Linked DNA regions of Mus musculus: all the other regions are reported to be linked to region 5. The links are microRNA targets in miRTarBase. Many come from high-throughput screens and were not tested one by one. Region 5 holds a microRNA gene; each other region holds the end of a gene's coding sequence.

Evidence for each region. The annotated mature microRNA mmu-miR-149-5p reads UCUGGCUCCGUGUCUUCACUCCC and lies in region 5 at 3,426-3,448, opposite strand. An mRNA with a match to its seed (bases 2 to 7 or 8) in the 3' UTR can be bound and repressed. Matches are read on the target gene's strand: a 7mer-m8 pairs with bases 2 to 8, a 7mer-A1 pairs with bases 2 to 7 and ends in A, and an 8mer does both.
Region 1: miRTarBase lists Crtc1 as a target of mmu-miR-149-5p. Seed matches in the 3' UTR shown: 7mer-m8 at 2,724-2,730, 7mer-m8 at 2,530-2,536 and 7mer-m8 at 2,209-2,215.
Region 2: the mRNA of Gtf2i is a reported target of mmu-miR-149-5p. The part of its 3' UTR that is shown has no 7-base or 8-base seed match.
Region 3: the mRNA of Vamp2 is a reported target of mmu-miR-149-5p. The part of its 3' UTR that is shown has no 7-base or 8-base seed match.
Region 4: the mRNA of Ipcef1 is a reported target of mmu-miR-149-5p. Seed matches in the 3' UTR shown: 7mer-m8 at 1,439-1,445.
Region 6: the mRNA of Sec14l1 is a reported target of mmu-miR-149-5p. Seed matches in the 3' UTR shown: 7mer-m8 at 3,746-3,752.

The regions. Positions count from the first base shown.
Region 1 is chr8:70,381,626-70,386,696 of GRCm38, forward strand. Crtc1 (CREB regulated transcription coactivator 1) reads right to left here. Exons shown (of 14, transcript NM_001004062.2): 14 at 733-4,710. The coding sequence ends at 4,499. It overlaps Comp (cartilage oligomeric matrix protein), which reads left to right. Exons shown (of 19, transcript NM_016685.2): 18 at 47-186; 19 at 261-441. The coding sequence ends at 307. Among named protein-coding and RNA genes, the nearest start is that of Gm51533, 9.3 kb to the left of the region's middle.
Region 2 is chr5:134,235,173-134,240,243 of GRCm38, forward strand. It overlaps Gtf2i (general transcription factor II I), which reads right to left. Exons shown (of 34, transcript NM_010365.4): 32 at 5,071; 33 at 4,325-4,399; 34 at 2,660-3,720. The coding sequence ends at 4,341. Among named protein-coding and RNA genes, the nearest start is that of Ncf1, 8.1 kb to the left of the region's middle.
Region 3 is chr11:69,090,320-69,095,390 of GRCm38, reverse strand. Vamp2 (vesicle-associated membrane protein 2) reads right to left here. Exons shown (of 5, transcript NM_009497.3): 5 at 3,010-4,741. The coding sequence ends at 4,725. It also overlaps a transcript of Per1 not described here. Among named protein-coding and RNA genes, the nearest start is that of Vamp2, 4.3 kb to the right of the region's middle.
Region 4 is chr10:6,886,012-6,891,082 of GRCm38, reverse strand. It overlaps Ipcef1 (interaction protein for cytohesin exchange factors 1), which reads left to right. Exons shown (of 9, transcript NM_001170800.1): 9 at 408-4,718. The coding sequence ends at 608. It also overlaps a transcript of Oprm1 not described here. Among named protein-coding and RNA genes, the nearest start is that of Ipcef1, 92 kb to the left of the region's middle.
Region 5 is chr1:92,848,758-92,853,828 of GRCm38, reverse strand. Mir149 (microRNA 149) reads right to left here and starts at 3,451; the gene lies at 3,386-3,451. Gpc1 (glypican 1) reads right to left here. Exons shown (of 9, transcript NM_016696.5): 2 at 324-482. Gm29480 (predicted gene 29480) reads left to right here and starts at 5,032. Exons shown (of 4, transcript NR_166170.1): 1 at 5,032-5,071.
Region 6 is chr11:117,156,138-117,161,208 of GRCm38, reverse strand. It overlaps Sec14l1 (SEC14-like lipid binding 1), which reads right to left. Exons shown (of 16, transcript NM_001166506.2): 15 at 4,670-4,848; 16 at 1,941-4,408. The coding sequence ends at 4,303. Among named protein-coding and RNA genes, the nearest start is that of Sec14l1, 44 kb to the right of the region's middle.

The sequences.
Region 1 (5,071 bases), not on the chromosome of region 5:
GGGGGTGGCAAGCAGGGAACCCAACCTCAATAGTCCTTTATCACAGGGTGCGGTTCTATGAGGGTCCTGAGCTAGTAGCTGACAGCAATGTGGTGTTGGACACGGCCATGCGTGGTGGCCGCCTGGGTGTCTTCTGCTTCTCCCAAGAGAACATCATCTGGGCTAACCTGCGCTACCGTTGCAATGGTGAGCGAGGGGCCAGCAGGCTGGACCCAAAAGGCTCCAGAAACCTCTCTCACCTGTTGCCTTCCAATCTGCAGATACAATCCCTGAGGACTACGAGAGTCACCGGCTGCAGAGAGTCTAGGGACCAGTGGGGTCCCGCTGCCTGATGGACTGTGGTGGCACAAGCTACGGGTGTGTGTGTGGGGGGGTCTGGCATCCCTCTGAAGGGGTGTCTGGCCTGGGGAGGAGAGGCAAATAAAGTACGTATGTGGGGGACTGGCTGGCTTTGGTCGCTGCTAAAGGGGCACTTTGTGGAGGGGCCTCCAGGAGGCCCTAGGGTCTGTACTCTAGTCACTGAGACTGTCAGGGGCATGCAATTCACTACAGGTGGTGACAGCCCTGGAATATTCTAAGGTAAGAGCAGATGGCTGCCTCCAAGTTTGAGGAACCCCAGTCACTGAATGGCTCAGTGGAAGGTGTTCAAGGGGCTCACACCTATGTGGGGCTCAGCCACAGGAAGATGAGGTAACCTGGAGGGAGATTGGAAAAAGAGGAAGAGGCCCAGACGAAAACATTGGGTTTTTATTACATTTCATTACAAAGGGCGCAAAAATACAAAGAAGCGTCTGCGCCAGAAGGTGGGGCGGGCGGCCGTGCGTGCCCTGAGCAACCTGACCCCCAACTGCGGTGCCCATGCGCACGATCCACAGACATCCGCAGCGGAGTGCGCATGCCGGGGGCAGAGCCAGCCTGGGCACGGGGAGGGGAATGTGGAACCAGCCATTTGCATATATCAAAGGGGCACCCCAGCCCATGGCGTCCTTTTTCCAACTAAGGGGTGAGATGGGGCCTGAGAAACAGGAGCCTGGCCTCTGGAGTTATGGCCACAGCCCTGTCCTCATGTCCCCCTGTGACCAGAAGTGCTGGGTTGGATTAGGCTAGGCCTTACCCCATGTGATGGATCCCTAGCCCCAAGGAAAGGCTGAGTGCAGAAGGGACTGCTGGTCCCATTGTGGGGGTTCTGCTGCTATCCCTACCCTGACCAGGAGGTTGGGCCCCTGAGCCCAGCAGGGTTGAGAAAGAGGAAAACTGAGGTTCAGGGCACCCCATGGCCTTGGGAGTACCCCAGCACCCAGGCTCGAGAGGATACAAGTCCCTCCATCTTCTGCCCTGACAGGGAGATGTGGCTATGACCAATGGGTGGCAGGCATTTGTGCCACACTGAGGGCCATGCCTGAGACAGAAATGATCAGGGTCGCCAAATCACCCACCAGATCCCTGAAGGAAGAGGCCCCCTGGGAGCCAAGGTGGAAGGGGTATAAAAAGGACCAGGTACCACCACACCAGAGGCAGACCACATGGGGTAGACTGCGCCACGGTGTCCTCACCTGGACAGCTCTGAGGGACAGCAGCCAGACCTAGGGCACAACTCTACAACCCCATGCCTGTGCACACAGCTGCATCAAGACCCTGATACCAGCAGCCCTCTCAACCTGTGCTAAATCTCTGCAAAATAAAAAACCCCAGGCCCACTGTGAGAAGAACGGCAGCTGACACTGGTGCAGGTTTGCTGTCCCCATGCCTTTTGCCCGTTCTTGTCCTGACCGGAGTGCCAGGACTCTTGACATCAAGCCCAGTGTGATAGCTGTCAGCCATCCTTGGGTGCTGTGCAGTAGCACATGGGTTTCACTAGGGGGCCCCCCTGTGTAAGAGTCTTCCAAAGAGTTGAAGGCTAGGCTAAGTACCAGTGGACTTCCCAGAGCCACACTGGATAGTGTTGCAGGAAGGGGATATGACAGGGCCTTGGGTCAAGGGGACAAGCCATTTCTTAGGATATAGAAAGGGGCTGGGTCCAGCTGCATTGTTGTTCTGTGGGGCTTTGGGTAGATTGCCAAGGTTAACTGAGGCAGCTGGGCATAGAGTTATCAAGATGCCCCAGTCCTGTTTCTGAGTCAGGGAAGTGGGCTGGACAGCCACATGGCTGAGGAGGGGCTTGGCTGAAGCTGGTGACACATGGGTAAGGTGGAGGGGAAAAAACCAGGCCTGGCTCACGCATCTGACCTCTCAAGGGCCAGGTGTCTAAGCCTGTCCTGAGAGAGCATGAATGTGGGCAGAGGGTCTATGTACACATTGCAAGGTGGCTGCTCCCAGCACAGTTCAATGGGTCACAGTATCTGCATGTCACCAGCTGAGGCCCCCACGGCCTTGAGCTATCATCTTGGGATGTCTTGGCAATACAGGGGTATTATCGGACAGGTGACCTATATCTAGAAAACAAAGACACCTCCCAGGAGTCCCCCTGACAGCAGCTAGGCCCAGGGGAGGGGAGGGTGACCCCTTTGGGAACATGCATGCACCCGAGTGCTGGCTCCTGGCTGGGCCAGAGAGCTCATGAGATGCTCACAGCTGCCTGGGGCGCTGAGGCAGGGACGTGTCACCTCATCATAGGACTTGGCAATGAACTGGTCACATTAATACAGCTACATGCACTCTTGGCTTCAGGGCACTGAAAGCCAGGCCACCAGCTTAGGAGGGCCATGGGCTGTATCTGTCCTGCCCTGGCTCACTGAGAACTCAGACAGCCAGTGAGTAACTGGACTCCAGGTACCCTGTCAGCCTCTCGGCCCTGTTGAGGCCGTTTGCTCAGACTTCTACAGCTGGAAGAGAGTCCCACCCCACTTCTGTGTGCTTTCCAGCTCGCCAGTGCTGGGGTGACAGACGCGTGCCACCACATACGTTTGATGATGATGGTGATGGTGATGATAAAGTTCCCACTATTCCCTTCAAGTCCGCACCGTGGTGACAGAAAGGCCTGAGACCTGGACAGGTGACTTGGACAAAGCAATGCTGTGTCTTCAGACCCAGGGGAAGGGGAATAGCAATGAAAGGGTGGCAGCTTTCTCATGCAGGCGGCTGCCTAGGTGCTTGGGGAGAGACACACACAGCTTGTGTGCTCCCCAAACCCCCAGCATGGGCAGTGGGCAACGGCACAGAGAAACAGTGAAGCCGCGGCCCGGGCCTACGGAGCAGAGGCAGAGGGCATGTCAAGCTATGACCTAGGGTGGTGGGGATCAGAACTTCCAGGCCAAAGGTGACCCCGGTCCACAGCCCCCACTTAGCCACTGCTAAGGCCTGGCAGACGCCTTAAAGATCCTCAGAGAGAGAGGGTTCTCAGGAGGCTCCAGTGAAAGTAAAGGCTGTTCCCAGGATATGTTCTGCGGTTCTACAGACACGCCCAGCCACCAGGACCCTGCATCCAGCCCCATCCTTGCCCACCCAGCTCTCTGGAGTTGAGACTAAATGCCAGTACGCCCAGGTCCAGGGTGAGCAGCCCAGGTGCCCCAGCTTGCAAGTGCTCCAGGCTAGTATTCCAGTTAACTTTTAAAAAGGTAAAGGAGGGACTGGGGGATAGTTAACACATGCTGCCAGGCAAGTCTGGGGGGGGGGGGTCAGCTACCAAATGCCAACAGAAACGGAAGGAAAAGCAGAACCACCAGGGCTGCTGCCTCCCGAGCCCCAGATCCTAAACAGCAGGAGGGACAGGTCACGAGGCTGGAAGAGTGAGGAGAATGTGCAGGTGGCCCGTGACCCTCCATCCCAGTGCCACCATACTGACCTTTGTCCAACAGGGGGCAAGGATGGTGAGAATGAGCCAAGGAGGGGCACTGGCTGCTTCAGTGGCTCTGTCCATACCACATTCGGCCATAGGTCGATTGTCACGCTGCAAGAGCGCTCAGGAATATAAAAGGCAGCCATCCAAACAGTGTTTATTCTGGTCCAGGTCGGCCCCGTCACTCTGCTGTCTTTGCCCTGGGCTCGGTGGGCATGCATGACCTGACCAGGGCTGGGGATGGCGGTGGGGAGGGGGGCAGGATGGAGGAAGGCAGTGACAGCTGACAACAGTCGAATGGATGGCGCACCTAAGCCTCTGGGCGCTCCACACCCACGCCCCGGCCCTCCTTGCACAGCACATCTGGAAGTGAGTGACACTTTGGGTATCTGATGAGGGCTCTCACATCCCCAGTGAGGGGTGAGGGAGCGAGCACGGGGAACATCCATGGGGGCCAGGCACTCACAGCCTCGGCCATCAGCCTGACCCCAGGTAGATGGATGGACAGACAGATAGCCAGCCTAGTACACAGCGGCCTCACACACGCCAGGCATCATGGGAGGTGAACGACCGGGGTGGCGGGGGGCTGGCAGGGGCACTGGGCAGCATTGCAAGCTCAGAACCACAAGCTTGGCCGTTGGCAAAGGGGGACGCCATTGCCGTCCCCAGGTTTGGGGCAGCGCCGTTGGAGACTGACCAGCGGCGGCTGGTGGGCACAGCCACTCACAGGCGGTCCATTCGGAAGGTGTCCTCGGTGGCTGGGTCGGCTAAAACCATGTCTGGGTCATTCAACATATGGAGTCCGTCCAGGGTCAGAGGGTCAATCTTCAGCTCGTCCAGTGGAAACTGATGGTCTGAATCAAAGCTGACATCACTGACTCCTGCCAGTGTGCTGCTCAGTTCCTTAGAGAGGCTCGGTGGTGACTCTCCTGTCACTGTTGGGTGGGGACAAATGACATGGCTCAACCTTGGCTCCAGGGAAGCAGACACCGGGCCATTTACTTCCCACCAGTATGAGAAGCAGAAGTGGAGGGGGCAGCTCACCCCAGGGATTGTTCTGCAGGGCGAACATCACAATATCTAGGGTGTTCTGTGTACTGTGGTGGGGTAGACACTGGCACTGGGTGGCGTGAGCCAGGGACATGGCTCAGCAGTCTACAGAGCATGAGCTGGTCCCAGCACTGAGGGCAGAGACCTGCAAAGCCACATGCTTGGTAGCAGATGGCAGTGTGACCTGCAGGACATACTCTGACCCAGAGTCTGAGGTGCACAGATGGGTCATACTGTCAGGGAGGT
Region 2 (5,071 bases), not on the chromosome of region 5:
CTCAACGGGAATCGGGTTGTTAACAGATCTAAGGATAGACTGTGTGTGTGTGTGTGTGTGTGTGTGTGTGTGTGTGAGTCTGGATTCCATTCCCAGGCTGGCTTAAAGCCAAGATCGCTTGGTTTGTGGGCAGATCCAGGGCTTTGTGCATACTAGACAGGCACCCTCCCCTGTAAAAGTGTTGGGACCCTGCTTTCCTGTCACCCCATGAGCTCCTGTGACAAGATCTGCTCTCTCCCTGCTAGTCACGTACTCTAGGATGGTAACATTTGAAAGGCCTGGTTTGTGATGCCGGAGCCCAGGGCTCTGTTTATGCTCTGCAAGCATTCTGACAACTGAGTTGTATCCCCACCCAACAGATCTTCTCTCTTTCCACACTGACTGGGGAAAGGGGAGCAAGGCACACAAGCCACAGTGTGGAGGTCAGAGGACAACGTGTGGGAGTCCGTTCTCGCCACCGCGTGGGTCCTAGGCACAGAACTCAGCCCTGAGTCTTAAACTAATGACGTGGGGTAGGTGTGCTGGCCTGGCCCCCATCCCCAGCAGGAAATGAGACTGGTGAGGTGAAGACGTGGGTAGAAAGGGCTGGAGAGATGGCTCCATGGGTAAGAGTACTGGCTGCTCTTCCAAAGGACCTGGGTTCAATTCCCAGCACCTACATGGCAGCTCAGCTCACAACCATTTAAAGTTCCAGTTCTACCTTGGTGGAGCTTGATGGAACTGGCTTTGGTGGGCACCTGGCACATACATGCAGACGTCTACATAGGCATAACTCTCATACACATTAAAAAACAAACCGGAAGCAATGGCTGAGGCTGCAGAGTGTAAGTTCTATTAGGCTGGCTGAGGCTTCCTCCACCAACCTAAGCCTGCTCGCCTGCTCCTCAAGTCTCTCCATCTCCTGTGGTCACTCTTCCAGACAGAACAGTAGACAGCTGCTCACAGCTTATCGGCCGTCAACGCTAACTCCAGGGGCATGCTTACCCCAGAGGACAAAAGAAGTCAGTATTCTCATTGGAGGCCAGGAGACTGCAGATGGCCGGGGACGGCAGCTGAGACCCCAAGGGCTGGTGGTCTACACAACATGACTGGGGAGGGTGTGGATCAGGACCTGGGTCATACCACAGTGTACACACAAACCCAGGAGACTGTTGTCCTACACACACACCCCAGGACAGAAGCTGCTATTGAAGGATCAAGGTTCCATCATCCTGCGGTTGGTTCTGAGTGTGGGCCATTGACCTTTGTCCCTGCTCTCAGAGGGCTGGCATTACAGGCCTCCTCTACCACTCTACTCAGCTCAAGCATCTCTCCCATCACTGGTTTTCTGAGAGTCTCCTGCAACCCAGACTAGCCTTGGATTCACCATGTAGCCAAAGATGACCTTGAACTCCTGATTTTCGTGTCACTGTCTCCTAACAGGCATGAGCTGGCTTTCAACTTGACCTTTTGAGCATATACCGGTTGAATTATTTTTGTTGTTTCGCAGGCAACAGCTGGGCCTTAGTTTCCTGCCTACACTCTCTTGAGTACTGGGACCACAGGCCTACTAACCAATGCTTGGCTCTATCTGCTAGCCTCTATGAAGCTCTGTCACCTGGAGAGATTAGCCACAATATTTAGGTGCAGTTTCAGTTGGCTGGCACTACATAGTAAATCTCCTGGCTGGAGACACTGAAGCTTCTACAAGTGGGTCCCTGCCCCTCTCTCACTAGGAGCTGCCTGGACACGGCCAAGTTGAAGGTAATAAATACAAGGCTTTTTGTTCCCTCTATGACAGGAAACACCTTACCAATCGGTATTGTGTCAGCCAAGCTTTCTGCACCAGGCCTTCCTCAAAACCAAACCACAAGAAACAAGTGTGGGCGGGGCAGGTGAGGGCCACCTACAAGGTGTCAGAGCACTTGGGTAGATGACAGGGTAACTGCATAGAACTCAGGTTTCCGTGCATCTAGACGAGCAGCCTAGTGACTGAGTCACATCCCAGCTATGGACGCTTTACTGGTGGCCATGACCCTTTCCACTCAGCTGTCACCTACCAGCCTACCTAGTACAGGCGGCTGTCATGTCACCCACCTGTACACAGCCATGTCTGACCCAGGGCAGTTCTATCCCGTGCCATGGTGTGGGGATGTCTCCAAAGGTTCACAGGATGAGAGTTTGACCTTGGCCTTGGCATCACTGGAAGATGCCAGAAGTTGGATGCTGACAGGGCGTGCCCCTTGTTTCTCCCTCTGCTTCCTGGCTGCCCCATGAGCAGCGGGTGAGCTGCCCCTTCTCCTCTGTGCCCTGTCACTGAGTACTGCCTGACGGATCTCAGCCGAGGAGGCTTCTGCCCGATGACTGACTCTCCTGTGCATCATGTTACCAGGGGATCCCTGGCCGCAGCCTGGGCGGGCATCATCTTCCACATCCTCCAGCAGGGACTCAGGGACTCCCCTGTGCTGTGGCTGTGTCCTCAGAGTTCTCCTCTGTCTCCAACGCACGTAAGATGTAGGCCGGTGGGGGCTGGGCACAGCTCCAGCTCCACAAACCAGTGACTTCTTGAGAAACACCAGGAATACGGGTGTCCCATCTGTGAGGGACTGAGGTGAACATCCTACCAGCCCACACCCGTCCCGCCTCCCCAGGCGCTCACGAAGACAGCAGGAAAAGAATGAGTTTGCATGTGAAAGGCATGGATGGATTTTATTTATTACCCTATATCTACAATTTGAGGTAAAATATAAGGAACACATAAAATGCCTATCTCTGCTACCGTGTGATATAATTTCCCATTGTGAACATTGTGGTGACTACCGAGAACCGTGCCCTCACGTGCCTAACTGCTGAGAGCTGTTACCTTATCATCGTCTGTGAGCCCCCACATAGGGCGGGACACCAATGTCCTCACTCCCCACCCTGGCGCAGAGGCCAGACAGGTGGTTAGAGACTAACCAACCAGGCAGACACACAGCCCAGCCTGACTCGACCCAGACCCAGAGCTGCGGCCCAGAGCCCCTGAGGCCACTGTGGGTCCCAGTTGGGGAGGGGCAAATCCTCCACCTGCTCAAGCATGCAGACCTGACCTCTGACCTTTAGGACACACCCAGAAATCTACTTGCTGTAAAGTAACCGGAGCGAGGCTCTGAGGCTAGCCTCTCCAGCTGCACTGCACGGATGCACTGGCTGCTCACTGGCGGTCAGGCGAGCTGGCCGGCTTTGCTCTGAATGGCAGTGAGGACAAAGGAATCGTGATGGAGCTTGGGAAGAGGCTTAGTCACACACACAGACAGCAGCCCTCCCCTGGCAGGAGGGGCAGCCGAGTGCAAGACCACGGAACTGGTCTTCAATAGAAAAACTAAAGCACTGACTAGCACAGGGACTTCCTTTGCTGCGGAAGCCAAGATGCCCTGTAGGAATATCTCACTGACGGGAACACGCACCACAGCCCAAGGCTCTGCCCGATGCATAAGAAACCCTACGAGTCGTCCCTGCCATTCCCGCCTCTTTCAGCACTGCTGCAAGACCCTTCTAGTGCGTTCCCAAGCCACCAGGCACGCGCATCTCATCACGCTGTGTAGCTCAATTCACAGAACTGCTGAGAAAGTAGACATTTCTATCTAAAAGTAGAAAAGAAGGTTTGTATAGAAGGTATTTCTGTTATACAAGTATATTACAGAGCTGGCAGGAACGGGTCCCAAAGCTCTTCTCCACCACGCACGCTGGACACTGGACGAACTGCAGAGAGAACAAACACGCAGGCAGTGGGTGAGTCAGATGGCAGGGGCATGACAACCTCCTGTCACACACCCTGTTCCATCTGACAGACATGCAGGCCCAAGTGCACTTGTGAAAGACGGCAAGGCCTAAGCCTGTGATCTGACACGGTCAGGCACATCACCAAGGCTGCCAGGCAAAGCCCATCACAGCAGACTGCAGTCTCCTCACTTGCGGGTCACTGCAGCCCACCTCTTGGTGGCAAGTCAGCAACTGATGGGGCTGGGCTTGTGACCGGCCTAAAGAGGTCAGCCAGAGAGGAGGCAACCTTGGCATACAGACTCAAAACAAACATGTCCCTTTAAGGAATACTACCTCTGTATTACCCTACCCCACCCCAAGACAGACAGGGTCTCACCACGGAGCCTGGCTGGCCTGGAACTTACAAGAGACCCACCTATCTCTGCCACCTCACTCATCTTGGCTACATCTTTGAGTGAGAAAAACCTTTGGGCCTTATGTCCCCTGAGGGTGGCCTCATCTCACAGCCAGAGCAGAAGGGATGTGTCTGCACATCAGCTTATAAGTGGGCATGGATGAAGGGCAGCTAGAGCGAGGCTCTTACCCTGGAGAGCCACGGTCTACCACGTGGGGTCTGGCTCCTGCTTGATCTGTGAACTCCCATCTGTCTCTTTAATTTCTACAGAAGAAACAAAGGGGTAACAATGAGCTGTACCACTGGTGCAAACCTGCTTGCCAGTAAGACTAGCCATATGAACCTGCTAAGATCTGCACGAAGCCGTTCCATGTGGCTTCTGCATAAAGTGCTCTTGTTACGGGATCTGGGCCTTACAAATGCCTGCCAAGTGTTCTTCTATTGAGCCATGTCCAGCTCATGCCTGATTCCCAAGTAACAGATTCCATATTGTTTTGGGTGTATTTACCATCATGCCTTGTCTAAGCTATAGGGATCTAGAGTTTAGTCAGAGCCACACGGGGAGAACAGAGAGGAAGTCTGCCTTCTTCACTGGACAGTGTTCATGGTAGAAATCTTATCAATTTAGGGCTGGAGAGGTGGCTCAGCAGTAAGAGCACTGGCTGCTCTTCCATAGGACCAATATGAGTTCAATTCTCAGCACCCACATAGAGGTTCACAACCATCTGTAACTCTTATTTCTGGGGGTCTGATGCCCTCTTCTGGCTTGGGTACTATATACACATATAAGTAGGCAAAACACTCATACATATTAAAAAAAAAAATTCCAATCAACTCACTAAGAACAAAGACACAGAGCATCACCGTGAGCACAGTCACACTGTCCCAAGGTGTCGGTCACTAAGTCTGTTCGCTGGCAACAGCGCAGCTCTTACC
Region 3 (5,071 bases), not on the chromosome of region 5:
ACACACCACGCCACTGACACCCCTTTTGGTCGAGCGCACCTCCCCAAAAACACAAGTTCGACGGCTCCAGAGTAAGGGGCTACTCACAGTTCCGAGCGCACGTAGACTCCAAATTTCTTCACTCCTGGGGCTCCTCCACAGAGTCCTCGAGGCCCTCCCACCGCCCGTTCTGTCACGCCTCCCTAGCTTATTGGCTCAGAGACGCCAACCCATGCCCCGCTCCGCGTGCAGCCGGCAAGCCCTTGTAAAGCAACCATTGGCATTTCAGAACTCAGTCATTTTCCCATTGGACAATATGACAACCGGTAGTGATAGAGCCACGTGAGGGCGGGGGCGCCCCAACTCGTTGATTGGACATCTGACCGGAAGCCACACCCCCACCCACTCTCAACATTTTTACTGGCTGCAGAGACAACCCCGCCCTGCCTAAATCAGTGACGCAAATGCCAGCCCTGCCCTAAAAACTTTCTCATAGGCTGAGAGGGCTCAGAGCTGTAGGGAACACGTGCAGGCTGGCTCACGCGGCAACTTGTTTACCCAGAAGCTGGGGATTTTCCTTGACGACACTTACCCAATACTGCGGAGTCTGCGCAGGCGTGCCGAGCGACTTGTACGCAGGCGTAGATCTGACAGGCTATGGCGTAGTGGGCATACTTTGGAGACTCTGGCATTACAAGAGGTTTCTGGTGCCTGAGCTTTGTGTCTCTAGTGATCCCCAAAGCTTAAAAATCTGAGCACTACACTGAAGATATCATTAGATTGCATGACAATGACGGTGAAATGACAGTCGCCTCCTATTTATTTTCTTTGGGCCTGGCTGGCCAGCCCCTTCTTGCAGACTCCCAAGAAGGCCGGCTCACTACCCATAACCTCACAAAAGAGGCTGAGAGGTTACGTAATCTGTCGGAATTAGATTATGTATATTGATAAAAGAGCTAAAGTCTGAACCCAGGTCTCTGACACCATAAAGGTAGCTTGGTATTGTAAGGCCTATGGAGACATTAAACCTAGAAGTAATTCCAAGAATTAAATGCAAAAAGCCTTATTTAAACTCTCCATAAAGGTAGAATTTAGGATAGGCTGTAAGACACCTCAGTACTTTAGAACCTCTGAAATAATTTCCAATGACACCCTTTTGCGGGGCGGGGGGTGTATTCCAGACAGGTTTCTTTCTTCTTTTTTTCTTTTTTCTTCGAGACAGGGCTTCTCTGTGTAGCCCTGGCTGTCCTGGAACTCACTCTGTAGACTAGGCTGGCCTCGAACTCAGAAATCCACCTGCCTCTGCTGGGATTAAAGGCGTGTGCCCCCACTGCCCGGCCCAGACAGGGTTTCTCTGTGTTGCTCTGGCTGTTCTAGAACTCACTCTGTAGACCTGGCTGCCCCCAAACCTGGAGATTGCCAATCCACCTGGCTCTGCCCAACTTTGAAAATCTAATTTTTGTTTGTTTGTTTTTAAGATTTGTATGAGTACATTGTAGCTGTCTTCAGACACACCAGAAGAGGGCATCGGATCCATTTCTAGATGGTTGTGAGTCAACATGTGATTGCTGGGAATTGAATTCAGCACCTTTGGAAGAGCAGTCAGTGCTCTTAGCTGCTGAGCCATCTCTCCAGCCCCTGAAAATCTATTTTTAAAAGTACTTCTAAGCTGGGCATGGTGGTGCACGACTTTAATCCCAGCACTTGGAAGGCAGAGGCAGGCAGATTTCTGAGTTCGAGGCCAACCTAGTCTACAGAGTGAGTTCCAAGACAGCCAGGACTGCACAGAGAAACCAAAAAAAAAAAAAAAAAAAAAAATAGTTCTAATTTTTTTTTTCTCAAGACAGGATTCCTTTGTGTAACATAGTCCTGGCTGTTCTGGACTCTTTGTATACCAGGCTGGCCTTAACCTCACAGAGATCCATATGCCACTACCGCCCAAATACTGGGCTTAAAAGTATGCACCATCCCCCGCCCCTCGCCCCCAGCTCTCTAATAGTCCTTATTTCTTGGCTAGCTAATGATGATGCACATGTTTAATCCCAGCCTCAACAGGCAGTCAAGTGTGTATTCCAGGCCTAATCTACACAGTGAGTTCCAGGACAGCCAGTGTTACATAATAAAATTCTGTCTCAAAAAATTTTGTTTTCTTTTTTTTTAATTTTTTTTTTTTTTTTTTTTAGACAGGGCCTCATTATGTAGACCAGGCTAGACTCACAGTCAAGAGATCAGCCTGTCCCCACCTCCTTTATGCTTGGATTAAAGGCCTGTACCACACCTGGCCCTCTAGTGGTTCTTAGCCAATCCTCCCACCCCGATCTCTATTCAACTGCCCTGGAAAGTCAAAGATCACTGTGATCCAGCAAGTACCACACTCACTAGCAGTGATTAGTCCCTCGTGCCCTGAATACAGAGGGCAACCAGAAATGCTACCTACTTCCTATATAGCTATATCTCAGTGATGTTGCTGAAGTACAAAGGGGTAGTGATGCTTCCAGTTCAAGAGTTCGGGAGTAAGAGTTACACAACGCAGTGCAAGGGTAGTGTGCCATCTATAGCTAGCTTTATGCCACAGTCAGCTTTGCCTCATCAGGCTGATCCTTTCAAGCATTCATCGGCCCATCTGGATGTACGGCACTGAAATGGACAGGGGAAGACATGCCCCCACAGAAGTGGTCCAGGAGTACAGGGCTATGAGAGAACCTAAGGAATAGCTAGCAGTGACATTTAGGAGATAAAGGAGTTCTGTGGTAGCAGCTCACTCTAGGCCGGTAGTGGGAAGCTGGTAATCCCAGACTGCAGAGTTCACCTGCCTCTTAGACATCAGGTACTTTCTTTAGTGATACTTCTGATTCTCGTCTGCTGGTGCCCCCTGTGGCCACTTCGGGAATTACACTTTGCCAGGGCCCAAGGTCAGGGCCTCCTGCAACAGGCCAGCCAGCTCTTACCAAAGAATCTTTCAACCACTCCATATCTGAAAATCCAATATTCTTATTACTGATTAAGAAAAAGATTTTGGACACCATATGGTTACTCATTACACGTTTATTGTACATTTTCACAATCTGGATGCGCCACAGAATTGGGGGCATGGGGCAGGGGAAGAAGGAAGGCAGGGGACACTGGGATAATATTGGGGGTCTAAAACACAAGCACCCCCACCCCCAGCATCTCTCCTACCCTTTCACACCACAGTTTAGATCTCCTTGGTTCCCCTCCACACAGAAAACCTGGTGTGTGGGGGGCAAGAGTTTGGGGAACAACCCCCCCCAAGGCAGGTTAAGGGGCTGTACCCTCAGATCCCTAAAACTGTGCCATTTAAAAAGATTAGATCCTTCCTCTATCATTGTACTCAACAAGGAAATAGCTTGCTTTCTCTCTCACACTCTCTCTCTCTGGGCTCAACAGCCCTGGAGAAGGACGAGGATCCCCATCCTCCAGCAAGTCCCAACACATATTGGCAGTGACTAGTACCCCCACCCTGAATACAGGGGGGCAGTCAGAGGAGCTGGGCAGTGATGGGGGTAATACCCCCCCCCCAGACTGGGGAGGAAAGTTTTCAGTCGAACCTCTAGCAAGGATGAGGCCAGAGACTTCAGGCAGGAATTAGGGGGATTCTGTTTTGTCCCACTCCTCCCCAAGGCAGTGATGACCCCCACACACTGGAGCCACCCCTCCTCAAAGAACCAGATTGTGGTCGGCCCCCAGTTCTCCTGATGGGAGGAGGCAGCAGATCAGGCAGATGGGAGGGAGCGAGACCCCCTGGGAATGTCAGTTGAGTGCCCCACATGAAAACTGGGGAGCAGGAATGTAGGGAGAGACCCCGAGTGGCAGAATTATTGGTCCATCATAACACACTGAACTCCAAGACACTTACACACCAGCTGGGGGAGGGAGAGGAGGGTACAAGAGGTGTGGGAAACGGGGTAAGGGAAGCAAACTAGACTAGAGGGGTTGGGAGGAGGAAACCTTGGGGTCCAGAGCAGCCTGGTTCCCCAAAAGTCCAGACTCCCCACCACCTGCAGATAATGTCGTGCTAATAAAAGTGTGGTAAGAGGACCAATGGAGACTGACTCTTCCGAAAAGAAAGAAAGAAAAAACACAGAAGAGTGAAGAGTGATGGATCAGAAAGGAAACAAAAAACTAACAAACAAAACAAAATGAAACAGACAGCGTATGCAAATGATATGCTAATCAACATGTTGGAAGCTCCCAGAAAATCTTGGGATTCTTAGGACCAAGTGGAACCAGTCTCAGAGCCTCCCAAGGGATACAAAGATGCAGCCTAGGGAAGCCTAGACAGGTGGGGTGTTCTGTTTGTTTCTGTGGGGTTTGCTTTTGTTTTGGGAGGGCCTGGGATTGTACAGGGAAGATAAGGGAAAGATCGGTTAAATCCAAGGGAAGGAGGAGAGGGGCTATTGCATAGCAGATGCAAATGAAGGGACTTGGGGCTGATCAGGAAAGAGGAAAAGGGACAGAGGGTGAGAGAGAGGTGATGGGAACCTCAGGAAGGGGTGTTAAGGACAACCGGAAAAAATCTTCTAGTAATAAAACTACAAACAGACCAAATATATATAATATTATATATGTATAAATAACAGCTGGCTATTTACAGGGGGCACACACACGGACACACACACACACACGGATCCAAGGGAGGGGGCTGAAAGATATGGCTGAGAGGTGGAGGAACGGCTGGGGGTGGGGGAGAGGCCCTTCTTAGGCAGGGCAGACTCCTCAGGGATTTAAGTGCTGAAGTAAACTGTGGAGAGAGGGCAAGAGGAGGACGAGGGAGAGGGGGAGAAAGGAGGACGAGGAGAGGGGGAGAAAGAGAAAGAAAGCAGTGTGTCAGGCCTGGCCCTGTTCCAAGCCTCCCCACTCCCCCACTGGCTGACATCCCTTCCCTCTCAGCCTCAGTTTCTTCAAAGGGACTTGGCAAGTGGGTATTGAGGTCCCTTAAACTCCACGGCTGGACAAAGGGGCATAAAACCTTTAATGCACTGGGTATGTGACGGTAGCTTTCAAACAGTGGAGTAAGTGGTATCCTGGTGGTTGGTGTTCGAGACCTCACCCTTTCCTGTCTCCTACTCCC
Region 4 (5,071 bases), not on the chromosome of region 5:
ATGCCTCAGGTAAAGTGTTATGTTCAAATTTTACTTCGAGGTTCAGATGGTCAATGAGTATCATCTGTGTACCATATTAACTGAGCCTCAGGAGATAGCCAGCACCCAGTGATAGACTAAGATGGAGTCCCCTCTGTGCTGTGAGGCAATAAAAGAATGAAGGGGAGCAGCATAGAAGACAGACTGTCTGGAAACTTGGGGGTGAATATATACAGCTTCTTATGGCTCCCACAGGCTGACCTCAGGCGTGTTGCAAGATTAGACTATTAATGCACTAAACCACATTGGTAGTGTTGCAGCCCATGGGTCCCCATGTCTGTGAAAGGGCTGAAGAAGTTGACTCATAGAAGTTCAGGTCCTCACATAATCATGGATGTCACTTTCCTTCCTGTTTTCTTCCCGGCCAGTGCAAAGAACACGATTTGGCTATGATCAACCAGCTGCTGGATGATCCAAAGCTGACAGCCAGGAAGTACAGAGAGTGGAAGGTCATGAACACCCTGCTGATCCAGGACATCTATCAGCAGCAGGCACCTCAGGACCCTGAAGTCACCCCTCAGGAAGTCATGAATCCCACGTCTTCTGATTGTGTGGAAAATTCTCTTTGAGCAGATGCCCAGATCCCACCCCCATTCCTGTTACTATACCATTCTACAGGATGCTGCCAAGGGCATTCATTCTGCTTACAAGGAAATCCCAAACCCAGTTCCTGAGACATCATCCATTCCCCGCAAGGATGCAACTGAGGTGAAGCCAGTTTTGATGCAGTGGGAGTCCTGGCGCCCAGATGTTGCCTTCCTCAATACTAGAATGAAGTGATGGAGTTCATCTGAGCAGGCATATCGTCTGTGCTTCTACTGGGAGCTGGCTGGAATAATAGGCTTTAGGTGGGATGTGAAATGGGTGAAACCCCTCTTTTTGTTTTCAAGAGAATTACAACCTGCCATAGACAAAAGGCTCAATTTTACCAGGGATAATAATTCATGTTATTTTGTTTTGCAAAAGAAGCATGAAGAACTCCCTTTGGTGGGCAGCCAAGTTCTGCAAAACGTTGTGAGTGGAGGAATTTCTTCCTTATTAGCTACTGGAACTGGACGCATGTTGGCATTTGTGGAACACAAGGCTCTTCTTAATGTTGATGTTCTATTTGCTGAGCACTTATTTGCAGAGTAGAGCATGGTGGGGGCAGAGAATGGATAGCCCAAGGAGGAGGCATTTTTCCTGTTCTACTCAGAGGTCAGCTTCATAAGTTCATGCTTTACGTAGGGCAGGGGATGTGATTAATATGCCTCTTCCTCACAATGTCTAGGAGACAAACTATCACATGACCTTTGGAGATGTCGTTCCCCCCCACCCCCAGCTTCTCTGAACAGTGGTAGGATATTAATACCCACTGTAAGGAATGTTATATTAAGTTTACCCCTGCCTGTGGTGCCTAGAGCCAGCATGAATTCGTGTCCAGTTTTCCTGGGATCCAAATTCTCAAGGTTATTTCTGAGTTGTTCTTAACTTGGAGAAGTACCCGGACCAGCAAAATGGGATCATTTTATTTTTGTATGTTTATGTGTCAAATGGTGTGAGATCTGAACAGTGATCTATGTTTCTTATTTAAATATATTTATAGAAATGCAAATTATAGTGTTCTAAAAGAAAGTGTACTATTATGTGTTGATATATAGACTATACATATATATGTGTGTGTGTATATATATATATATATATATGTCTAGAAGCATATCATTTTTGCTTGAGAAAAATAGGTATAGTAGTGACTTACTGGTATTGTATTGCACTATGATATATAAAGAATGCTCAGGAAATCTCGAGAGAAAACCACGGGAGCATGTATTAATAATTACTAATTTTCTGAATGCTTTCTTTCCATTACAACCCCACCCTCAGCTCCAGAGATCTTACATTTCAATGCCTGTTACACATCATTTTCTTAACTAGCTCCTTAGGTTAGCTCTTCTATTCACAAAGGTTAAGCTTTATGATATTTAGTTGCCATGAGTTGTAGACCCAAAGAAACACATCTCACAAACTATTGAGCCAAATAAAATATAAACAATATGATTCCTAATTATATACTAATAAAAATTAAAGTTTGTCATTAAAGAGATCTCAAGGAAAAACAATATATTAATCATAATGACAACTTCTAAATCATAACCTTAATTCACTGAGGACCTATGTGTGTCTCACGTGCCCTTTGAAAATTGTTGACGTATATATTCATATCATAACATCCCAGGTGGCTCGGCAAACTCAAATAGAAATAGCCACCTGATCTATATCTATAAGGTGAATAGAAAGAATTGTTTATTATTTCCCTGTACTTCACCAAGACTTTTTTTGTACACTGAAATGAAAACCAGTCCTTGCCTTAGGAGGGAAAAGTAAAGAAGCAGCAAAAAGAGAAGCAGAGAGAAGCAGAGAGAGGCAGAGAGAAGCAGAAAGAAGCAGAGAGAAGCAGAGAGAAGCAGAGAGAGAGAAGCAGACTCATCAAGTGGCGAGACGAAGCCTGGGGATGAGCTGAGAGGCCCTGCAGGGCCCTCCATGGATCCATGCAGTTGGAGATGCTAATGCCTATCAGGACTGATTCCATTTCCTCCTGTGGCTAGTAGCTGTTCAGAGGGCAATGTTTTGGGGTTCACAGTGAAAGGAAGCATTGGGGGGAGGCAAATTAGCATTGGAACAACCTTAGCCTGGGAGAAAATATCCACTCATGTCTTTTATTAGCAACTCCACTTTACAGACCTCCATCCTCCCCCAAGTGGAAGCCCCAAACACTTTTTATGAGGGCTGATTGCTATATTTAAATGTTTTACGTTGGCTTTCCACTCATAGGTATTTAACTGACCTTTGAATGTAAACTCCTTTAGGAACATTCAGATCTAAAGGCAAAGTTGGTTCGTGAGATTGCTTGAGCAAGTCATAGGGTTAATTTTCCAGGCAACTTCAAGAAAGTCAGAGCAGACATTTCTGCTTTGGTGGAACCAGCCTGCTGAATGTTCCCAAGTCAGTCTCAGCCGTGTCCTGACCTCCTGGGCACAAACCAACCACTCTCTGTTCCCCAGTTCTGTAAATTAATACTTCTTCACTCTGGGCTAAGTTTAGTCACAGCGTAGGGGTGCTTCTGTGGGTACCCAGCCTCAGCTGTGATCCTAAGAGTAGGGTGAGGACAGACGAGGTGAGCAGGAGAGTGAGTGACACTTCTGGGTGAGGACAGAGAGAGCGACACTTCTAGAGACCCTCAGTGAAGAGAAACCATGAGGAGCTATCCCTTGGCCTCAAGTCTCTTCTCTGGTTCAAGAGATTTGGGAACTATAGATCTCTCCTAGTTAATGGCTGGGAAATGGACTATAGGTAGTGTGAGCCCAGGGGAGACTCTTGACTGTGCCTCTGGAATGTACCAGAGCACCCATCTCAGGACACTGGTGGTGGATCTTTGAGCACGAATCTTTTAGAACCCATGGCACTGGTTAAGGATGAGGCTTCTCTGGGGACTTTTGGGGAGGCAGGGCTGAAGGAGGACTCTTTCTTTCTGATCTGAAGACCCAGATGAGAGCCTGGCAGAGGACCCTCACTAGTTGAGAAGTTGCTAACACACATATGTCGCACGTTTTTCTGTTGTTTGCAAGATGTCTGTCATTTATAAGAGTTCTTAGCTTTCCCTATCGCTTTAATCTGAGGTTAAATTCAGAGTCCCAGAAAGATGCTGGAGCGAACAGTTGCAGGATTCCAACAGGCCAAGAAAGAGGTCAGGTTTGGAGTCATATTTTCAGTGTGAACCCATGCCTTATATTTGCATAGCTCTTTGAAGTTTGCTAACTGTATGTTCCAAACCCCCTTCCCTGCGTCCTACCACCCCATAGGCTAATCGGGATGATTGTGAACTATGGGTGTAATGAAATGCCTGGCTCAAAGCCCCAAGTGGTACAGCCGGAATCTGAGTTTGAATTTCAGGTCTGTCAGCCCCTCTGCAGAGGAGGAATGCTTGTCTCCGCTTAGCCTGCTGGGGGATCAAATGGTCTGACTTGGCCCCTGTGTCTATTACTCTGGGTTCTGCACACCTGGCTCCTGCGGCTTCTGCTGAACCCCCAGAGGCACTGCTGTGAGCAGTGTCTCCCGAAAGGTCCCGCTGCCTTGCCACTGGGTTTTCTGAGAACTGGAGCTTGGCCTGATTGTTGTTTCTTTTAGTCCGTTCTATAAAACACACTATGTTAGCACTGTGAGGACTTTAAAGCTAAAGGATACAAGTCTTTTAAAGAGCTGGAAAATGCTCATTTTTCTAATTTTTCCTTTTGAGATGCGAACTGTCCTGTCAGGTATCAGAGACTTAGGGATTAGAAATGAGCCACGGATTTGTGATGAGGCTCATTCCCTCAGGGAGGGTTCAGACCACATAGTCACACAGAGGGAACAAAGGAAAAGAAAAATAGTTTTCAGTCTTTTGAGGAGAGGTACTCTGCCGATGTAAGCCATATTTAACTTTACGGACACAGGCTGCTTGTAAAAAGAGAAAGACAATATTTTGGAACAGCGATACAAATGATCTAGGTACAAAGAGTGACTGTTCAAATGTCACATTATATTGAAGCGGTACTCAGCCCAAATGCAGGTTTAGAATGTAGTTCTGCTTCCCACTAACAGAATAGGATACACAAAGAAGATTTCCAATCTCTTTTCCATCAAACATTTCTGTATACTTACCCACAAAAGAAATTCAATCCAAGATGTAGGTTACTGCCAGCTTAAGGTTTTGTCATCCATAATAGTAAATTCCCCTCAAATTAGATTTTCTAATCTCTGTGAAATGGATGGGTCAAAGGGATGTTCCATTCACAGGAAAAAAACCTTCTCAATCACACCATATCACATGGAGCACAGGAAATCAGACCCTGCATTTAAAAAGAAACTTCTCCATTTCCTTCGTTGTAAAGAAACTTAGTTGCTCTGTATTGATGTCTCTTTAGCTTTAGTCCAAAGGGAAGCATGCCCCATGGAGACATTTAACACCCTGTAATAGAAACCATGGTTTAAGTCACACATGTTCTGCTGTTGCATG
Region 5 (5,071 bases):
TGCACTTTCAGCCTTCAGTCTGAGCTTCCTGACGGGGGGGACGGTAGCTGGGATAGTGGGCCTACCACGGGGACCCCAGAAGATGCAGGTGATACAGGTCAGCCCTCTGTAGGTCTGGAGGGGAACTCTGCTTGGGACACAGAAGCACCTCAAGCCCAGCTGTTCCCCTCTGAGGAGCAGGCCCATTCTCCCTAGGGCCCTGACAATAACTTGGGTTCATTGTTCTATTCAAGCCTGGCAGGAAGAGGGAGACCCTCCTATGGAGTTAGCCATCCAAATCCTAGCCTCTGGCTCCTCCCCCACACTCACAAGTGCCCACTTACCATCGATGCCATGCAGCTGGGTGGCCAGTGTGGCCTGCAGGGCGCGGCTGCTGTCATGGAGTGCGCTCTCCAGCTCCATTCGGCTGTGGTTGGCCAAATTCTCCTCCATCTCACTAGTACAGCAAGTGTAGCCCTGGGGGCAGATCCGCAGGTGCTCACCTGTGGGACGGCAAAGGGTGTCGTGAGGGGGAACAGTGGTCCAGGATGCTCTGCCCAAGATGGGGCTCAGCTCAGGTTAGGAGCCCTTTGTGAAGGCAGAGATGGGGAGAGGGGGCACATTGTAGGGCAAAGCTGGGCTCCAGTGTCTCTGACCTCCCAGGGCCTCTGATTAAGATTCAGGGATGGGGTACCACAGGTTATCATAGTTATCAGAGGGCTGAGCCTCAGACTACGAGTACTGTGTGACATAGTCCAGCATCTCAGGAATGCAATGAGAGTCCTAGCAGGGCTCCCTGAGAGCCAGCTCAGCCCTCACATAGAGGGAGAGGCTGCCCGACTTAGGTTGGGGACCTGATAGAGGCTTTCGAGCCTGGCAGGTGCCTCTGCCCGGGGGAGGAAGAAGAAATCCAGCCTCTTCTTAGCTCAGGCCAGTCTCAGAGGCCACCTGACTGACAGCAGAGTGGAGTGCCCCATGAATGTTCTGCAGGGCCTGTGTCAGCATTCTGCAAGGGCCCTGGGTACCATTCTGGGGTGAAGAAAAGCATGCTCTGCGCAGGCACTGGGTCCCAAACAGAGGCCACTCAACCCTGGCCTGAGGTTCCCACTAGCTGGACACATTCCCAGTCCCCATAGTGTTCTGGCTGAAACTCCCTCCCCCGCCATCTATCCTGGGCTGGTGAGCTGACCTGTCAGCCCTTGGTGGCACTGCAGCAGTACCATTCAGGACAATATCAACTGCCACTTGCTGACAGAGGGTTGCTTTGGGCCTACAATTGGCCTCAAAGTGTCTACCATGGAGCCCTTACAGCACACACCTGAGAGTCTCCTGGCATCAGAAGAAAACCTCAATGGGAGAGGAAACCTTCTGCTAAGGCTATAGTGACACCAATTTACAGGGAATCTGAGGCTTGGAGACTGGCTTTTGTCCCAGTTGGGGGCTGAGCTACTCAGGACTGGGCCTATGCCTGACCCCACTCTGTTCTACTCCCTTCTCATAGGGTCACACTGCTGTCTCTGAGCCTAAAGACAGAGCCCTACAGTCCCTACAAGGGACTGGGTGGATCAAAAAGGCAGAGGCAGTGGCCCAGCCTTAGGTGAAAGGTCTGAGAAGAGGGAGCGGTCAGCAGGGATTCTAGAAGCTTCCCTCGTGCAGGAATGCTGATTTTGATGTTATGGGGAGCCAGTGAAATGCAGAGTTTCCAGAGCCCAGAGTAGGTGCCAGGGCTGGTACCTGGGCTTTATCCTTGCTGACGGGTTGATGGGAAAGGTGGGATGTGAAGAACTCCAGGATGTGATACTGCAGGCTGCCATCAGAGGTGGGGGACTGAGCCAGAGGGGAGTGGACATCTTGTCAAGAAGCATGTGGGGGCAGGAACCTGTGACCTCAGGATGAGGCCATTATGTGTTAGGCCCCATTTCTATGAACCCCCCTCCCCTGAAGCCAACTGGGAGTGGAGATCTCTGACTAAGGAGAGATTCTGAGGTTGCATTCACCCTTAAGAGCTTGTTACATGATCACATCCTTGTCTTTAGCACTTAGTAAGCACAAGCATTTATGTGTGCTGGATGGTGTGTGTGTGTGTGTGTGTGTGTGTGTGTGTGTGTGTGTGCATATTGCAGAGTGGAACTGTGTACAGCCTCTGTGATTTTGACCTGACATGGAAGGTATATATCCCCAGATGCCACCCCTCCATCCCTAGGTAGGGCAACCTTCAGATCTGCTCTTCCAGGTCTCAGGTTGAGGGCCTGGCCTAGCCCTTCTCCTGCTTACTAAGGCATGGGAGCTGTGCTTCATCCCAGAACCCTGGGGACTTTTGGCCTCACAGGCTGAGTCCCACCTGGTTTCAGGGTCCCCAAAGGTCCACAGAGCAGGGCAGTGGCTGACAGCTGGTAGAAGAACAGAAGGAATTGTATTCTGATTCAAGGGTGCTTGGGGGAGTCAAGAGAAAAGGGAGTCAGAGATGGGAGGTGCACACGGAATGCCCCTCCCACCACTCCCCTACCTGGTACCCTCTGCTCCTACCACACTGCTTCCTCCTGCCCAGGGCACCTGCCTTTCACAGGGACTGCAGGTCCTGGGAAGCAACATGTTATTAAGCACCCAACCTCAAGAAAGGGCTGGGTTGGTGCCCAGACAGCTGGGAGCTGCAAGCCTAGGTCCTGCCACTTGATCTGCATCCATTGATTGATTCCCTTCCTTCTAGAGTAGGGAGGGCTAAGCAGAGATTATCCACCCGCAAGCAGGCTACAGGCACAACAAGGTACAGGGCCCAGCAGGGCCTTCTATTTGCTCTGCTCCGGGCCATGGTCTGCTGGGCTGAGGTGATATGCCACATCTCTCTCTTTGAGTGGTGGGGTTTAAGGGTTTTTCTGTTAGAGGAGGAATCATGGGGGGCACTGTAGAGGATGACCCATCTCTGACTTCAGCAGTGAGTGGGGAAACAGCTATGGGGATGGAGGCTGCAGGTATCAGGATGGGGCCATCCTGGGCTCAGCTGGGACAGAGGCACTCTGTGTGTGTAGGCCAAAGGTTTTAGGTGGAAATATTGAGGACCAGGCTGCACAACAGAGCACTGGCAAGAGAGAGGTGGGCACAGCCTTACTGGCCCCTCCCATGGTTTCTGCTCCTCTGACATCCTTCTCCATCTTAGTGGTCCCAATTGCCACCCCTCACCACATAGACAGAAGAACGAAGCTGAAACAGGAAGAAGTTAATTAAGGACACACACTCAGAAACAGAAACTCGCCCCACTCCACGGCAGGTTCTGGATAAATGGGACCCATGAGACTTTTGGCCAGCTACTATGAGCATACCCCATCCAATGGCCTCCCCTGCAGCCCCCTGGCTCTGCCTGGCCACCTCACCCAGCCAGCCCGGTGACCTGCGCTGTTCCAGTTGCCCCAGCACCGCCCCCGTCCCTCCCTCCCTCCTCGGACAAACACGGGAGTGAAGACACGGAGCCAGAGCCTGGGCACTGGCCTGAGGGCCCCGGGCAGGCTGGGTCAGGCTGCCCAGAAGCCCATGCATTGGCAGACCTGCTTGCTGAGGGTCAAAGATAGAGGAGCTGAGACCCAGCCCAACTGGAACCATAGGTGCTCAACATCAGAACAGCTAAGGCAGGCTCTGCAAAGCTCTCTACACTTCCAGGAAAGCACTGGAGTACATACCCATCGTAGGAACGTCTCTCCGTTCTACCCTACCAGCAGCTTCCTCCTTGCCAGCCCTGAAGGTGGGTGGGAGTGGAGCGGCAGTATTGTTCCCCACTGACCCCGCCCATCTCTCTCAGAGTTGGTTTCATTTTTCCAGATCTTTCCCTCCTGGGTTTTTGGGGGGCACTACCCTCCCCTGGCACTCACAGGTTTTATTTGGGGAAGGGGGTTGTTTGTTAATGGCAGGTTTTCCCCACTTTAGTCCCTTTTCTAAGCCTTGTCCCCAACCCCAAAGCCTCTCAAATTCCAAGACCCCTGCTTCTTGTGACACTTAGCATGGCACCCCATTGCAGCAAACCCATGGGCAGCAACTGCTCATTTACCTCCTCCCAAATCTGGCTGCTTGCACCCCACCCCCGGCCCCCCACTATTCTCCAGAGCAGACAGCAGCTTGTGGCTTCCTACCTTTCAGGGTCACACCCTCCTGCCACCTGCTGACAGCTCCAGCTCCTGCTCCTCCCTCACAGAGGCAGCATCCCTCTTGGTCATCATCCACAGTCACCCCAGGACTTTAGCAGAGTCCAGCATCCTGATGCTACCCACAGACATCTCTGACCTGACCTCCCCTGACACTTCAGGGACCCAATGCCTTGAAACCCTCCACCTTCTGAAGATAATGCAGAGTCATGCTACCCCGCCTCTGGTCCATTCTTCTAGAAGCTTCCTGTGCTCACGGGGGAGATGCAGAGTGGAAAGCCCACTTCCCTCACGGCCCCTAAAACACTCCAGCTGGCACGGCTTGGGGGAGTGTAGGGGCATTCGGAGTATAATCTCTCAGCACCGCAGATAAGGGAGAGGCACAGGCTACACTCCCCTCCCCAGCTGCTGGCTCCTAGAGCAGGCCTTTCTGTTGACTGGTAGGTTAGAAGTAAACCAGCCCTCTGTGCTCCTGGGTTTTCCAGCCCCAGAGGCTGAGAGTCTCCAGGACGTGACAGCCTGGAGCAAATGGCCCAGCTTTCTGGGGGACTACTCACTGCCCAGGCTCCAGGGGCATTTTCCCATTGCTTGCTCCTGTTCCCCAACAAACCTGTCTAGTCCCCGGGGGTCACACCCGAAGGAAGACATTTCAACTCCATCTCTGAAATTGGAAAAGCATCAAGCACAATCCCCTCCCCGCCCCCACCTCACTCCCAATACTTTTCCACCCTCCTGGATGCCTTCATGATTCCCGAGCCCCTGCCTCCGGTTCACCCAAATGGCAACATCACCAAGAAGAACCTCCATCACGAACAGGGACCCCCTAACTGGGGGGCATCGGCTGCTGGCACTTCTATGGACTCGATGGGAGGGGTCATCTCCGGGCAGGCAAGGGCTCCTGCCAGCTGCCTCTCCAGCATCAGGCCAGGCCCTGGGCGAACAAAGCCTGGGCGACACCTGCA
Region 6 (5,071 bases), not on the chromosome of region 5:
TTGAATCAGGGTCTCATGCTGCCTCTTAACTCACAATGTAGCCAAGAATGACCTTGAACCCTCACACCCTCTTGCTTCTCCACTGCTGGGCCTGTTTTCTGCGGTGCTGTGGAGGGAACCCAGGGCTTCCAGCAGCCTAGGCCAGCCTTCTTTGGACCCACCCACAGCCCAGACCTAACATTCAGTTTTTAGTGTTGGGTCACGGCTTGGCGGATGTTACTGCATGAGCGTCCTTCGTCTTGTTTCGGTGGTACAGAGGTAAGACAATCTGTTCCCAGAGCTGCCCTGCGGCCACCCACACCCGTGGCTTCTCGGTGTGCAGCAGGTCAGGTCGGCCAGTCTGCCCTGCCCCAGATCTAACCAGCAAGACCCCGGGCTGCAGCATCTTCCAGACCACCTCTGCTTTCTCCTCGGAGTCCACACGGGTTTTGTGACCACTGGTCTGTCCAAGAGATGGTTGTTTTGGACATTCTAAGATAACTTACTGCCTAGTTTTATGGTAGAGTGATGGGCACAGGAGCTATTACTGTGGGGAAGAAAATACAGCAAACCATCACTTTAGTGTTTTGGGGCATAGGACTCAACACTCCAACTGTCGTAGGCTCAACCCTTGCTGCATTTATGTGGGGACGCCATTGCTGTCTTCCCAGAATGCCTAACTCTCCAAGTCTTTGGTTTCCAGTTTTTAAATTTTCATTTATTTGCATGTGCCTGTGTATATGCCATGCATGCGCATGGAGGACCGAGGAGAGCCTGAGGTCCCCACGGTGGAACACTGGTCCTTAGGCTTGGCGGTGAGCACCCTACCCGCTGAGCCACCCTGCCAAAGCCCTCCCTTTGCAAGCAGAACTGAGCCCAGTTGGTTTGCTTCGTGATGTTGATGAGAATAACTCTCCTGGTACTTGAGAGCTGCAGGTGCCCCAAGGTTTAGGTTTGGTCAGAATTCTCCAGGGATCTGGCATCAAAGAAAACATAGGGCTGGTGGTAATGGTGGCATACACCTGTAATACCAGCACTTGGGAGGCAGAGGCAGGATATTGAGTTTCAAGCCAGCCCAGCCTGAGGAGTGAGTTCTAGGATAGCCTGGGCTACATGCCAAAACCCTGTCAACGAAAACATGGTGTCATTCACGGTGAACGCACGTTAGCAATCTGGACTAGTTAGGGCATGCCACTCCAGGGTGGTCATATCTGAATAGTTCAGACAGAACTTTGGGTTAGATGCAATTAAGCCTTGCGTGTTCTTAGGCTGTCTCTCATTTCCAACAAAATGTGACCTTGGAGCCAAGACAGGCTTGTTTTGACCAACCTTAAGTCTTTCCTCGGGTGGCAAGTTCAGCAGGATGCGCCAGATGGGGTGTCCGGCCATATCCCAGCCTTACTGCTTGGGGCAAAAGCCCTGCAGAGTTCACATGCCAGACAACGAGGCATGCTTGGGAGTCTCTTGCTTTCTACATGATCAGACCCCCAGATGTGCCTGCCCTTCCCTTTGAGGAGGTTCTGACCTTGCACCCCGGCAAGACCGTGATGACCTTCCTCCTCCCAGACCTGTGCCCGGCTGTCCCGGGCTCTGTTGCCTTGCAGACCCCAGAAACAAGAGAGCCAAGATGAGGTCACTCTAGCCTCCCCAGGTCCACACCTGCTTACTGTCTTGAATTCCAGAGTCACCTGCTTGGAGAAATCTATTTTACTATTAAGTAATACAATGATACCGAGAGCCAGGCTGTGAGGCGGGGTTTTGGCATGTAGCCCAGGCTATCCTAGAACTCACTCTGCAGCACATGTCTGATGTGCTGATCTGCACAGCAGGCCTTCGAGAGGCACAGGGTGACTGCTGGCCATCCACTCAGCCGCTTGGCCTCCCCTTGCCTTTAGGCACGGGCAGCTTCTCCTCTCAATCTCTATTCTTCCTTGGGGCCTCCCAAGAAGAAAAGGACACTCTTCTTAAACAGTTCACATTTATTATTGTAACAATAAAAAAATCTTTTAAAGACTATCAGTATTGTATTACCAAGAGTGAGGTAATATGTTTACAAAACATTTACAGAATCTGATATGCAAAGAATGGATTCAGGAAGGAGAATGGGTTAAGACACTAGAAACAGGGAGAGCCCAGAGTGGAGGGAGCAGCATTTTAGGAGGTGCTGGGCACTGGGAGGAGCAGCCCCGTGTGCGAGCCACACGGTCACCTCGTAGCCAGCCTCCCCTTACAGGGCAGCCAGTGCCCTGTGGCTCGGGGAAGCTGAGGGCCTGTGAGTGTGCAGTTGTGTGCTTTGAGCTCTTAAAGATGCTCTCAGCTCTGGGGGGTTCAACAGTGCCTCTTCGGCATGGACTTAAGGGGAACAGCTCTTCAGCCTGGGACATGGCTGCGACTCAGATAGGTCTACAAACATCTCTGGGCACATGTGGGCTGTCGAGTGAAGCGCTTTCTTGGAGGATGTCAGCAAAATCGCCATCTGGGACATGGAGAAAGGGAGAGGGGAAGGGAGAGAGAAGAGAGAAAGAGCAGGGGCATCTTCAGGTCCTTTCACTCGGAGCTGGGAAGCCCTGACTGGAAGCAGCATGGACGCGGTAGCTACAGCCCTGCTGTGCTGTGTACAAGCGCTCCCACAGACAGGAAAGGCATGGCAGTGGGCCAGAAAGGCCACCAAACAGAGGCTCAAGCACGGCTCAGGGTGCCAGGAGCCAGGGGGCTCATCGGCCAAGCCAGGCTGCTGTGTCGGCTCTCCTCATGCTTGCTGACATGCCACAGCCTCTCCATAGCTCTCACCGCACAGCCAGCCACCCAGAGCCTCAGAGCAGCGTCTACACAGGCATCCACTCCCGCCATACACTCTCATGGCCACTCGGATTTGGCACACATCTTTAGACACTGTTACCACACACACACAAGTAGATCCTGGGCCCCCCTCCTCTGGAGATCAGCCACCTGCAACTTCTAGACAGTTCGCTAAGAAGCATGCTTTCCCCATAAAAGCCGTAAAGCAAGGATCTGCTCCAACAGCAGGCTCTGGGGAGTCAAGATCAGGGGAAAAAAAAGAAAGAAGAAAAAAGGCAAACTAGCCCCAGCCTCTGACCTGCTTCTATGAAACGCAGAAGAACAAGTGCAGATCTGCAGCCCCTCCCCAGCTACACCCCACTCCCTCATGCACACACACAACACCTACACACATACCCAGCATCCACCCACATGCCGAAGGCCACTGCAAGCCATGCACCCCCCTGGAGAGCATTGCTAGAGTTTGCACTGCCACACTTCTAAAGGCAAGTGTGACCTACTGCTTCCAAACACCCTGCTGAGAGCTGAGGACCCTGGGTGCTAGGACTGAGGATCCTGGGTGCTAGGAAGACTGAGGACTCTGGGTGCTGCTGGGAGGACTGAGTACCCTGGGTGCTAAGGGCTGAGAACCCTGGGTTTTGGGAGGACTGAGTACCCTGGGTGCTAAGGGCTGAGAACCCTGGGTTTTGGGAGGACTGAGGACCCTGGGTTCTGAGAGGACTGAGGACCCTGGGTGCTACGGGCACAGAGCCGCCTCCTGCAGAAGGAAAGGCAGCACTCAGCAGAGGGAAAGAATCCTCCCCATCCCCTCCACCAAGTTCACGGACAGAAAAATTTTGCTCTGAAAAATATCAAAAGATTTGAAGAGGAGGAAAGAGAAAGCAATGTTTAATGATGGCGGTGTTGTCAGGATTCACGAGGAGCCCTGGCAGCCCCTCCTGGGCTGCAGTGTCTGCTCGGGATCAGGCTGGCTCTGACCCAGCACTGGGTGCTCCTCAGGCTGCCAAGTCCTTAGCGGAAAGGGACCTCAAGAGCTGTTCTGGATCCACAGGCCACCTCCACTAACAGGGAGCCGAGAGGACTCCGCTGCAGCTTAAGGGCTGCCTGCTGCAGCTTCGGTTCCGTGGAGGAGGAGGTGGCGAGTCTCTGCAGGGTGTCACACAAGTCATTCACTAGTGGACAAGGTGGAGTTTGTTGGTAACATTTTTTGCATCGACAACTGAGACCAGTCAGTCTCTTACTGTAGATAAACTACTTTTCTTTCGAGAGCCCTTGTGCTCTGGTTTGATTTTGTGCACGCTGTATACAAAATCTATGGCTATTGAGTTAAAGTTAGGGGTAGAGTTAAAACTACCTCTCAGGATGGTCTGGGGACCAGGTGACTAGTGACCATCTGCAGATCTAGCTGCTATCTAGAGGGAGGAGTCTGCACATCCAGGGGTGGGCGGAGTCTGCACATCCTGGGGTGGGCGGAGCACAGCAGCCGGGGCGCCCGCCCTCCGCGCAGGCGCAGGCTTCGCGGCACTACCTGGAAATCATGGAGCTGGATTGCGACTGGCTGGAGGAGGTGGTGGCGGCACTGAGCTGTGAGAACCCGCTGTGGCTAGATTCCAGGCTGGTCATGGAGCCTCTGCAGATGTAATCAACAAAGAACCAGGAGTGAGGAGCTGCTCTGAGCCGCCCCAAGCGAGCATCTCTATCTGCTCCCCCCCCCCCCCCCTCCGTCGGCCCTTGTAAAGTTGGGACAGGACATGAGAATCAATGGAGGAATCCGTAGTTTGCCCCTCGGGTGACACTGCACTTAGCAAGTGCTACACTCCCTTTCCTATGGAGAGCTGCAGGCAGTGAACAAGTAGTCCCTGCTGCCAGAGCCTCCCTCTCAGGCACAAACCTGAAATCTTCAGAGCCGATCACTTCTGTGTAGTACATGACTTTGCACTTGTGGGAGGAGACCTGCAGGGAGGCCAGCACGTCGTCCACTCGGGGTAGGTTGGTGGCAGCACATGCTGGCATGGTGTGGAATTTCCACTGTAGGATGTAGAAGCCTGGCCACCTGGTCACATGGGACCCCTGCAACAGTGAACAGCAGCAACTCAGGACATTCCACCAAGGGGAGGGGTGTCCTGAGCCAACAGCCTAATGATGGATGCCCTTCCACCCACTGAGGCAGCCTATGCGATGGTCTGTCAGGTGTTAGGAAGGCAGCATGCACCTTGTCTACCACCCTCAGCAACCTGCAACCTCTAGAGAGTACCAGGCTGAAAGTGCCTGGCCAGGTGGGAGCTGTCAGAAG